Macaca mulatta: one gene and its partners. The protein of the gene in region 1 interacts with the protein of each later gene in a biochemical or structural test. Links are inferred from orthologs where the notes say so. Each region holds a gene or a part of one and is shown in the gene's direction. Other genes may lie near its edges. The genes, in order: RNF168, H2AX and H2AZ1.

What was found.
Region 2: of the proteins of RNF168 (region 1) and H2AX, one has a biochemical effect on the other in vitro, tested with the Homo sapiens proteins (2 studies listed by BioGRID). The link is inferred for Macaca mulatta from reciprocal best matches to the Homo sapiens genes RNF168 and H2AX.
Region 3: of the proteins of RNF168 (region 1) and H2AZ1, one has a biochemical effect on the other in vitro, tested with the Homo sapiens proteins (3 studies listed by BioGRID, with this or other methods). The link is inferred for Macaca mulatta from reciprocal best matches to the Homo sapiens genes RNF168 and H2AZ1.

Annotation. Positions count from the first base shown.
Region 1 is NC_133407.1:2,047,832-2,051,542, reverse strand, and holds the start of RNF168 (E3 ubiquitin-protein ligase RNF168), read left to right. Parts: upstream 1-817; 5' UTR 818-1,444; coding exon 1,445-1,745; intron 1,746-3,711. UniProt on the Homo sapiens protein: E3 ubiquitin-protein ligase required for accumulation of repair proteins to sites of DNA damage. Acts with UBE2N/UBC13 to amplify the RNF8-dependent histone ubiquitination.
Region 2 is NC_133419.1:119,778,687-119,782,000, reverse strand, and holds H2AX (histone H2A.x), read left to right. Parts: upstream 1-1,210; 5' UTR 1,211-1,285; coding exon 1,286-1,717; 3' UTR 1,718-2,800; downstream 2,801-3,314. UniProt on the Homo sapiens protein: Variant histone H2A which replaces conventional H2A in a subset of nucleosomes. Nucleosomes wrap and compact DNA into chromatin, limiting DNA accessibility to the cellular machineries which require DNA as a template.
Region 3 is NC_133410.1:109,266,982-109,270,572, reverse strand, and holds H2AZ1 (H2A histone family, member Z), read left to right. Parts: upstream 1-934; 5' UTR 935-990; coding exon 991-993; intron 994-1,423; coding exon 1,424-1,501; intron 1,502-1,779; coding exon 1,780-1,893; intron 1,894-2,226; coding exon 2,227-2,356; intron 2,357-2,636; coding exon 2,637-2,698; 3' UTR 2,699-3,075; downstream 3,076-3,591. UniProt on the Homo sapiens protein: Variant histone H2A which replaces conventional H2A in a subset of nucleosomes. Nucleosomes wrap and compact DNA into chromatin, limiting DNA accessibility to the cellular machineries which require DNA as a template.

The DNA of each region.
Region 1 (3,711 bases):
TCGGCTCACTGCAAGCTCCGCCTCCCGGGTTCCCGCCATTCTCCTGCCTCCGCCTCCCAAGTAGCTGGGACTACAGGCGCCCGCCACCTCGCCCGGCTATTTTATTTTGTGTGTGTGTGTGTGTGTGTGTGTATATATATATATTTTTTTTTTTTTAAAGTAGAGACGGTGTTTCACCGTGTTAGCCAGGATGGTCTCGATCTCCTGGCCTTGTGATCCGCCTGCCTCGGCCTCCCAAAGTGCTGGGATTACAGGCGTGACCCACCGCGCCCAGCCTTTTTTTTTTTTTTTTTTTTAAAGCCAGAGTCTCGCTGTCGCCCAGGCTGGAGTGCAGCGGCGCGATCTCGGCTCAGTGCAACCTCCGCCTCCTGGGTCTAAGCGATTCTTCTGCCTCAGCCTCCCAGGTAACCTGGACTACAGGCGCGCACCACCAGGCCCGGCTGATTTTGTATTTTTAGTAGAGACGGGATTTGGCCATGTTGGCCAGGCTGGTCTCAAACTCCCGACCTCAGGTGATCCGCCCGCCTCGGCCTCCCAAAGTGCTGGGATTACAGGCGTGAGCCACCGCGCCCGGCCGTGTTTGGCTGTTGAATTTGTTTTGCAGTTTCCCTTTTTCTACCCAGAAACCAAGAAACCCGGGGTGTCTGAGGCCTGGCAGAAATCTCCGGGGAAAGTCAGGCTCCACCCAGGCTGCACCAGCAGGAGCGGCGACGCCTGGGCTGGGCCTCTCCGGCTGGGAGGGCGGGCGGGGCGCAGACGCCGGAAGTCCCGCCCCGGGAGCGTCCGACCTTGGGCGGGTTTCTGGGTGGGAAGCGCGGTTTTGGCGGGCGGTTGTGACGTTGCTGGCGCTTGCCCGGTGGCTGCTGCGCCGCCGCAACGAATAGGGCTTCTGGCTGCGCAAGAGGGACCCGGGCGCGGAGCTCTGGGAAACTGCGCCGGGCGCCGGGAAGCTGAACCCGGGAGTCGCGCGTCGCCCCCGCAGCAGCGCCAAAGCGGAAGTTCTGCAGCAGCCGGAGCTCGGGATTCCTCCCGGAGCCGCGTCCCGGGGCCGGGCTGCCCCGAGCTGAGCGGAGCATCCTCTCCGGATGAGGGGAGGAGGGGACTTGGCGCGCTCCCCTCGCTGCACCGGGAGCCGCAGCCGCAGTGTTCACGCCGCGGAGCAGCCCGGCTCCTCCGACGAAAGCCTGCAGTCGTTTGCTTGCCGGACGTTTGCCTTGAAAATGGACAAAGACGCCGCCCTCCGGGGCGTTCCTGTTTGCCTGACCCTGAGAGCGCCTTTTTGCTTCGAGACGGGTTGGATGCCCCTGTTCTCCGAGTTCTGATACGCTTCTGGGCACAATATTGAAACACAAAACTGTGCTTTTGCCTTCTCTGTGGTTGGCCGAAAATAGGATTGTTTTTCGCGCAGGTGTCGTCGTTTAGTCGACTTTATTAACGTGTTAAAATGGCTCTACCCAAAGGCGCCGTCCCCTCGCGGTCCGAGTGCCAGTGCGGGATCTGCATGGACATCCTCGTGGAGCCCGTGACCCTGCCGTGCAGCCACACGCTGTGCAGACCGTGCTTCCAGGCGACCGTGGAGAAGGCGAGTCTGTGCTGCCCCTTCTGTCGCCGCCGCGTGTCTTCGTGGACTCGGTACCACACCCGAAGGAATTCTCTCGTCAACCTGGACCTGTGGAAGGTCATTCAGAAACACTATCCCCGGGAGTGCAAGCTCAGAGCGTCGGGGCAGGAGTCCGAGGAAGTGGGTGAGTAAACCCCGGCCTGATTATTGGCCGAAAGCCGCAAATCTTTGAAAAGGTGAATCATCGCTTCTCCATTTAAAAAGTACAAACAAACCAAAAAGCCCCACTGATGTTTGTCTAAATAGTTCTCAGAGGTTTGGGGGTTTATGGGTCCCCAAATGTCGATGGATTGTAAAGTCAAGGACAAGATTTTGTCCCTTGTCACGATGCCCGCGCTGTGTTCGATGGGTGTTTGTTTTAAAAATTAAAGAATTGCCCGTCTAGAGCCTTCTTTTTTTTTTTTTTTTTTTTTTTTTTGAGACAGGGTCTCGCTCTCGCCCAGGCTGCAGGGCAGTGGCGCGATCTCGGCTCACTGCAGCCTCCGCCTCCCGGGTTCAAGCGACTCTCCTGCCCCAGCCTGCCGAGTAGCTGGGACTACAGGCGCGCACCATCGCACCCGGAATTTTTGTATTTTCGCAGAGACGGGTTTTCATCATGTTGGTCAGGCTGGTCTCGAACTCCTGACCTCCGGTGATCCGCCCGCCTCAGCCTCCCAAAGCGCTGGGATTACAGGAGTGAGCCACCGCGCCCGGCCTCTGATTTACTTATGTGTACATCTCCATTCACGTAATTCTTTATTCTCCTAGTCATGCAACGAGCCGATCGTGACCAGCCTGGCCAACACGGAGAAACCCCGTCTCTACTAAAAATACAAAAACTAGCCGGGCGAGGTGACGGCGCCTGTAGTCCCAGCTACTCGGGAGGCTGAGGCAGGAGAATGGCGTGAACCCGGGAGACGGAGCTTGCAGTGAGCCGAGATTGCGCCACTGCACTCCAGCCTGGGCGACAGAGCGAGACTCCGTCTCCAAAAACAAAAATCATGCAACAAGTCTAAAATCGCTTTTTTATCACTAACCCCTACACCCGGTGGACTCAGGAGCCCCAGACTGAACCCTTGACTCTTTCCTCCGCTAGTGTGAGCAATAAGCCGTGCAGTGGTTCCTGTCTGTGCGCTCTCGTCTACGGGTCTTTTTTTTTTTTTTTAATTTTTTTTGGTCACAGTTATATGTGTACCTGCCTTTTAAACGTTTATGTATTTTATTGTGGTAAAAAACCAAAATGCCATTTTAACCATTTTTAAACAATAGTTTAAGAAAAACAGCTTTATTGAAATACTCACATACCGAACAGTTCACCTACTAAACGTGTGCAGTTTGGCCGGGTGCAGTGGCTCACAGCTGTAATCCTAGCGCTTTGGGAGGCGGAGGTGGGAGGATCGCTTGAACCGAGGAGTTGAGACCAGTCTGGGTAACATAAATTCAATAAAATTTTTAAAAGTGCAATTTAATGGTTTTTTATATATTGCATTATTAATTTTTAAAATACTGTCCAAAATATATATAACAAACTGACATTTTAACCATTTTTAAGTACAATTCAATAGAATTAATTACATTCACAATGTAATCATCACCACTGTTTCCAAAACTTTTTCATCACCCCAGATAAACTCTAATCGTGAAGCACTGACCACCCATTTCACCTTTCCCCCTAGCCCCTGGCACCTATTCCACTTTCTGTCTCTATGAATCTGGCAATTCTAGGTATTTCATATAAGAGTCTTATACAATATAGGATCTTGTGTGTCTAGCTTATTTCTCTTAGCGTGTTTCCATGGATCAGTACTTCATTTTTCGGGCTGAATAATAATTTGTTTTATGGATATACTTGTTACATTTTGTTTATCCATTGGATGGACGTTGGTTTTTTTCACCTTTTCGTTATTTGAATACTGGCAATACGGACATCTGTGTACAAATATTTGTTTGAATACCTGTTTTCAGTTCTTTTGTCTACATATCTAAGAGCGGAATTGCTGGATGCTATGGTAATTCCATGTTTAGCTTTTTGAGGAACTGCCACATTTGTTTTCTACAGTGGCTGTACCATTTTACATTTCCATTAGCAGAGCATGAAGTTTCCAATTTCT
Region 2 (3,314 bases), on another chromosome or scaffold:
CAGAGTCCTGACTCTCAAGGAACTACTGGTTTTTGGGATAGAACTTGGGCCAGGGCTAGGGACACAGGCTCCACAGTGACCTGTTATTTGATTGTAAATTAAGTGTTCTGATTAGTAAGAAGTAAGCAGGGGGCCACATGCTCTCAATGGAGACAATAAAGTGTTGTCTATTTCTTATTGTTCCTGTAGGTATATTTCCTATATGGGCATTTTTGGGTGGATTGGGAGGGTAGGTGGGGGTACTTCCTCCAACAGGATGCCTATCTCTCTGCCCCACCAGACCCCGTCTAACAAGAAGTGAACAGAACTGAGACCAAACAGAACATATTGAATAAACATTTAAATCCTGATACTTCAGGTGGCATGGAGGGCCACAAAATTGAAGTTATCCTGTTTCCTGGCATGGGGTCAAACTTTCAAAGACACCAGGTACAGTGGCTCATGCCTGTAATCCCAGCACTTTAGGAGGCCGAGGCAGGAGGATTGCCTGAGCTCAGGAATTCAAGACAGCCTGGGCAACAAAACGAGACTCCGTCTCTACAAAAATAAATAATTAGCCCACTGTAGTGGAGCATTTGTAGTACCATCTACTCGGGAGGTTAAGCAGGAAGGATCCCTTGAGCCCAGGAGTCCGAGGCTTGCAGTGAGCTGAGATCACACCACTGCACTCCAGCCTGGGTGACAGCAAGCAAGACCTGGTCTATTAAAAACAAGAAAGAAAAGAAAGAAAGAAAAAGAAAACTTTAAGGGGTCTAATTTCTTCCCTTTTCCATTCTCCCTTTGTCAGGTAGGAGAAGGGAGTGTGGAGTGACCGGACCTGGAAAGGGTAGCTATAGTATTGACCCCTTTCCTTTAAACATCCTACGCCAGCACAGATTTCCCAGACGCTCTCTAGGTGGCCTCAGACTCCACCCCTTTTGTCTTCCGGTTCTGCCTTCCGACTGTAGTGTTTAAATCTCGCGCGCTTTACAAGGATTGGCTACATAAGCGGGTGTTTGGCCGTCTGCGTGCTACCCCGCCTCCTCGCCTTTTCTCCCCGGGCAAAAGGTTTTCAAATTCGACCAATCAGCGCGCGCTCCCTCAGCCGAGGCGCGACACCCAAGGGTTAACCGCAACCAACCGGAGGCGGGTATTGGAGAAAAGAGCCAATCAGGAGGGCGCAGAGGTGTGTCCTGGGGGCTTATAAAGGCGGCCTCACGGCGCGCGCGCGACAGCAGTTACACTGCGGCGGGCTTCTGTTGGGGTGTCTCTGAACCGTTGTACTTCACCGGTCTACCTCGCTAGCATGTCGGGCCGCGGCAAGACTGGCGGCAAGGCCCGCGCCAAGGCCAAGTCGCGCTCGTCGCGCGCCGGCCTCCAGTTCCCAGTGGGCCGTGTACACCGGCTGCTGCGGAAGGGCCACTACGCCGAGCGCGTTGGCGCCGGCGCGCCCGTGTACCTGGCGGCAGTGCTGGAGTACCTCACCGCTGAGATCCTGGAGCTGGCGGGCAATGCGGCCCGCGACAACAAGAAGACGCGAATCATCCCCCGCCACCTGCAGCTGGCCATCCGCAACGACGAGGAGCTCAACAAGCTGCTGGGCGGCGTGACGATCGCCCAGGGAGGCGTCCTGCCCAACATCCAGGCCGTGCTGTTGCCCAAGAAGACCAGCGCCACCGTGGGGCCGAAGGCGCCCTCGGGCGGCAAGAAGGCCACCCAGGCCTCCCAGGAGTACTAAGAGGGCCCGCGCCGCGGCCGGCCGCCAGGCCTCCCCATGCCACCACAAAGGCCCTTTTAAGGGCCACCACCGCCCTCATGGAAAGAGCTGAGCCACTTCAGACTGCGGGGCAAGCGGGCCGCGGCTCCCGGCTCCTTTCCCCTCCCATCGCCCGCCTTTGCCGCCCGGCCTCGAGTCCCCGCCCGCCCCCCTCCTGGCCTGCACCGCCTGCCGCGTCGGCCTCGGGCCCTGCCCCATCCGCCGGCCGCCCTCCGGTAGGGCTCGGGCCCTCTGGACGCGGCTTGGGCACTCTTCGGGGACCACCGTGGCGCGGAGGACCCGAGCCTGCCGGGGGGAGGCCGGCGGCGCCGCACCTGCTCGCCTCGGCGCTCGTGACTCAGCCAGCTGCCCCATCCTGAGTCGCTGAGGGGCTGCGGGGAGGCCGCAGCACCTTCTGGAAGACTTGGCCTTCCGCTCTGACGCAGGGCCGAGGTGGGCAGTCCAGGCCGAGAGGCCGGCGGCCCTGAAGGTGAGTGAGGCCCTCGGCAGCTGCAGCCAGGGTGTCCGGCACTCCCCCGGCGTGGTGCTTAGCCCAGGACTTTCAGACGTGGCCGCTGGCCTGGAGGCTTTGGTGGGAGAGACACGATCGCTGGTTTCGGTCTGGCGCCCCCTCTGCGGCCGGGACCCAGGCCTTTCACATCAGATCTCCCTCCATCTTCATTCATAGGTCTGCGCTGGGGCCGGGACGAAGCACTTGGTAACAGGCACATCTTCCTCCCGAGTGACTGCCTCCTACGAGGACATTTAGGGGAGGGCAGAGGCCTGCAGTTTGGCTTCACGGCTGGCTATGTGGACAGCAAGAGTCGTTTTCGCGGAAGCCGACTGGCAGCCAAGCCTGTCGGGCCTCCCCATTTCCCTTCCAGCAAACTCAACTCGGCAATCCAAGCACCTAGATACCAGCACAAGTCGGTTAATCCCTGTCTGGACTGAGCCTCCGTTGGCTTCCGAACTGGAATTTTGCAGCTAACCCTTCCAAGACTAGAACCTTAGGCATTGGGGAGTTTTAGATGAACTAATTTTATTAAAGGATTGTTTTTCTAAAAATGGAGCATTTGTTTTCATTTTGCAAGAGAGTTGTAGGATTAGTGACTTTCTATACTTTCCTGATAGTGGGGGTGGGAGGGGCATGCAATATAAATAGGCTCTACTGTTAACCGAAGAAGGAGCAAACCATAGGAATTTAAGATTATGGCTCTGTTTCTTGGTGTTCCTGCGAGACAATTTATTCTGTGTGAAATGAAAACTATTGAGGCAGAAGCAGAAAGGATGTACCAGGAGAACTTTGGGCAAAAGTCCCAGCCTCCGAGGTAAGGATGAAAGGGCTTTGTGTTTGTTCATATCTTCCCGCCAACCCCCCCCCACACACACACACAAAAACACCTTCAGAGCTGGTTTATTAGTAGAGTTGGTTACATTCAAAGGCTGTGGCTTGGACTTCTCTAAAGAGATGAAGCCCCCACATACTGAGGAGGCAAGGCAGTCATCAAGGCCCCAAACTGAGGCAAATCCCCGGAAGGCTTGAACCCTGCAGTTCAGTCTTCTGAGGTAATCACTCCCC
Region 3 (3,591 bases), on another chromosome or scaffold:
TACAACTCATTGATGTGTAGTCTCCAAAAAATACGGTTTATGATTTAAGAATACTGCCTCGCCAGAAGCTCCTTAAGTGTAAACAAAAAGGGTTTCGTGACCAGTGAGGTGACTTGGCTTCACCGTTTGCTGTTACAGAACTATTCCGTGGGGGATTTCATAAGTAGTGAGGGAGAGGTGGAAGACCCGGCTGAAAATAAAGTGGGAGCAACCCGTCCTGATCTGTTGTTGGTGACTGGGGATTCGCCTAGAGGGAAGAAACACGGAATCTCTACTAAGGCTGAGGAAGGCGTCAGGGCAAACCTCAGCCTCCCCTCACTGGACGCGTTCGCGCCACCTGTCAGACTGGAAGAGCCGCCAGGGATTGAGAGGGTCGGGAGAGGGTGCCCGGGGCCCCGGAAGGCGGCTGCAGGTCGCAGGTCTCCGCCCGAGAGGCGCTGGGGGTGGGGTTGGGAGCGGTGGGGGCTGCGTGCTAGATACGGACGAGACTTCACGTGGTCTCCAAAGCCCTGCTAGGGGACCCGGGGCGCTACCGCGCGCCCCTCCCCTGAGGTCTCAGCTCCTCCTCCCCGGCACGTGACCGCAGCTGGCTGGTAACTGCGCTCCCGCAGAGTAGCTTGCTCTGTTTCTTCCCTCCCGCCGCGGTGCCCTTCTTCTCCCCCGTTCCCATCCCTCCGCCCTCCCCCGCTTCGCTCCTCACGTCCCAATCGCGGCTTGAGCTTAGAAGCGCCCGCCCCTCCACCCTTTTCTTTGCTTGCTCATTGGCTGAAGTCTCAAGGACGCGTCCCGAGGGCGGGTGGCAGCCATTGGTGGGATGAGCAATCCGAGTTCCCGGATGAGGGAACATTCTGCAGTATAAAGGGAGCAGGGAAGGCGGGAGACAGCGCAGTTTGAATCGCGGTGCGACGAAGGAGTAGGTGGTGGGATCTCACCGTGGGTCCGATTAGCCTTTTCTCTGCCTTGCTTGCTTGAGCTTCAGCAGAATTCGAAATGGTAAACTTCGCAGAGACGCTCGATGACTTCGCGGGTTTTTGCCGGCGGGAGAAAAACCCGTTACACGGGGGATGGGGGTGAAGTGGCGACGGTTGGGAACGCGCGGAGACAGGATTAAGAAGAGCGGGGGGAGGTGTTTTGTCGGCTGCTAGCGGAGCAGCCTCGGATCTCGCGGCGGGCGGCGACGGTTGGGTGGCGCGCGCAGCGCCGCTGGGGGCCGGCGGGCGGGCGGAGGCGCGCGGCCGCGGCGAGCGCGCGGCGGGGGGCGGACGGGCGGGGTCGCCCCTGCGGCGCGCCGCGGGCCAGAGACCCCGGCGGGGTGCGGGGACGCGCTCGCGGCGGGACGCGCCGCGGTGGGGGATGGGCGCGCCGCCTTGGTAATTCTATATTCTCCGTTCCTCCTCCGCTCGCGGGCGTGTGCGCGCCGCAGGCTGGCGGTAAGGCTGGAAAGGACTCCGGAAAGGCCAAGACAAAGGCGGTTTCCCGCTCGCAGAGAGCCGGCTTGCAGGTCAGTAGTTGTTCGTGCGGTCTGGGAGTCGTGATGTTTTTCTTTGCATCTCCTTTTTTGTTATTCACCGCTCTCCATGGGCGTTTCGTCTATGCGTGGGTGATGCGGTGTCGCGACTTGGGCTGCCCATACGATAAATATGGGGGGGAGGAATCACGTGTTTCGATGTCGGGACGCGTTGCTGCGCCCGTGCCACTTGCTTTGGCGCGCATATAATTTCCCCATCTCTAGTTCTCCTATTTTTGTGCATTTATGTTTGTGTATGCTTAAAATTTAAGTTCCCAGTGGGCCGTATTCATCGACACCTGAAATCTAGGACGACCAGTCATGGACGTGTGGGCGCGACTGCCGCTGTGTACAGCGCAGCCATCCTGGAGTACCTCACCGCAGAGGTAAATGGGTGAACGCCTATAATCCGGAGAAGGTTTGGGGGGCGGGGAGACGGCAAGAGGGAAGGAGGAAAGTGATGCAAGAAAACTCACAGGCCCTGAACGCGGCGAGAGGCCTAAGAGAACGCTAGAGGGAGCTGCTGTTCAACAAGGATCCTACTGAGCTTGAGTTCTCTGCTCTTGGAATTAAAATTGCGTGCCCCCTGTATATCTTGCCAGTCAGATAGTGGGGAACGACTCCAGTTGGTAGATAAGCGTTTGTGAGGGTTTTATTCTGTTCTCTGAATCTTGGCCAAAGGAAAGTTGGAAGGGAACTGATTAGATTCTGCCTTCTAGGTACTTGAACTGGCAGGAAATGCATCAAAAGACTTAAAGGTAAAGCGTATTACCCCTCGTCACTTGCAACTTGCTATTCGTGGAGATGAAGAATTGGATTCGCTCATCAAGGCTACAATTGCTGGTGGTGGTATGTTAACTTCTAAAATTTTTAAAAATTTCTTCAGAGGAAGGAATTCTTTGCTGCTTTAATTTCATTAGTTTTTCTAGAAGAGAAAATTTAAGTATATTTTCATTGATGCAAGTATGGTTTTATCATGAAATTTGATTCATATGTATAACTGAATTTTTACTTCATACTTGAGCTGCACGTTTTTAAAGATACTTGAACAGTATACTTTTTTTGGTTTCAAATACTGTGATTTTAAAAAAAAAATCTTAAGTAGAATTAATTCCTGTCACTCTCCTAGGTGTCATTCCACACATCCACAAATCTCTGATTGGGAAGAAAGGACAACAGAAGACTGTCTAAAGGATGCCTGGATTCCTTGTTATCTCAGGACTCTAAATACTCTAACAGCTGTCCAGTGTTGGTGATTCCAGTGGACTGTATCTCTGTGAAAAACACAATTTTGCCTTTTTGTAATTCTATTTGAGCAAGTTGGAAGTTTAATTAGCTTTCCAACCAACCAAATTTCTGCATTCGAGTCTTAACCATATTTAAGTGTTACTGTGGCTTCAAAGAAGCTATTGATTCTGAAGTAGTGGGTTTTGATTGAGTTGACTGTTTTTAAAAAACTGTTTGGATTTTAATTGTGATGCAGAAGTTATAGTAACAAACATTTGGTTTTGTACAGACATTATTTCCACTCTGGTGGATAAGCTCAATAAAGGTCATATCCCAAACTAGTTGTGTATTAAATTGGCTTGATTGTAATATGAATTTGTTTTGAATATCTAGCAGCAATAACTAAGCACATTTCTTTGTGACTGACCTGTCAAATCTAGATCAACAAAGTGAGATAGACCAAGTATATATTTTTAATGTTATATAATAAGCTACTAAAGTTTTAATTTAAAAAGTTGTCAGGAGCTGGAGTGGGAGCATTTCAGTTTGTGCATTGACTTTGCTTGCTGTGTGACAGCACTGCACTAGTATGCTGTTAGTGTGGTGGACTTGGGGAGGGAGAGAATAGGTAGGAATGTCCTGTATATCCACATAATGAACTCCGAATTTAAACTCTGAAGCTAATAGTGCTACGTGCTAGGCCCTGCTTTGAAGTCTGAAATTGAAATTGTTAAGTGCTCAGTAACATCATTGGGGATATACTATCTCCATTTTATTGAAGAGAAGCAGGCTTTCTTATTTGAAAGTACCGAGTTCTGGTGGTAGTTGGAATTAACAGCTTGGCTCACAGCATTTTG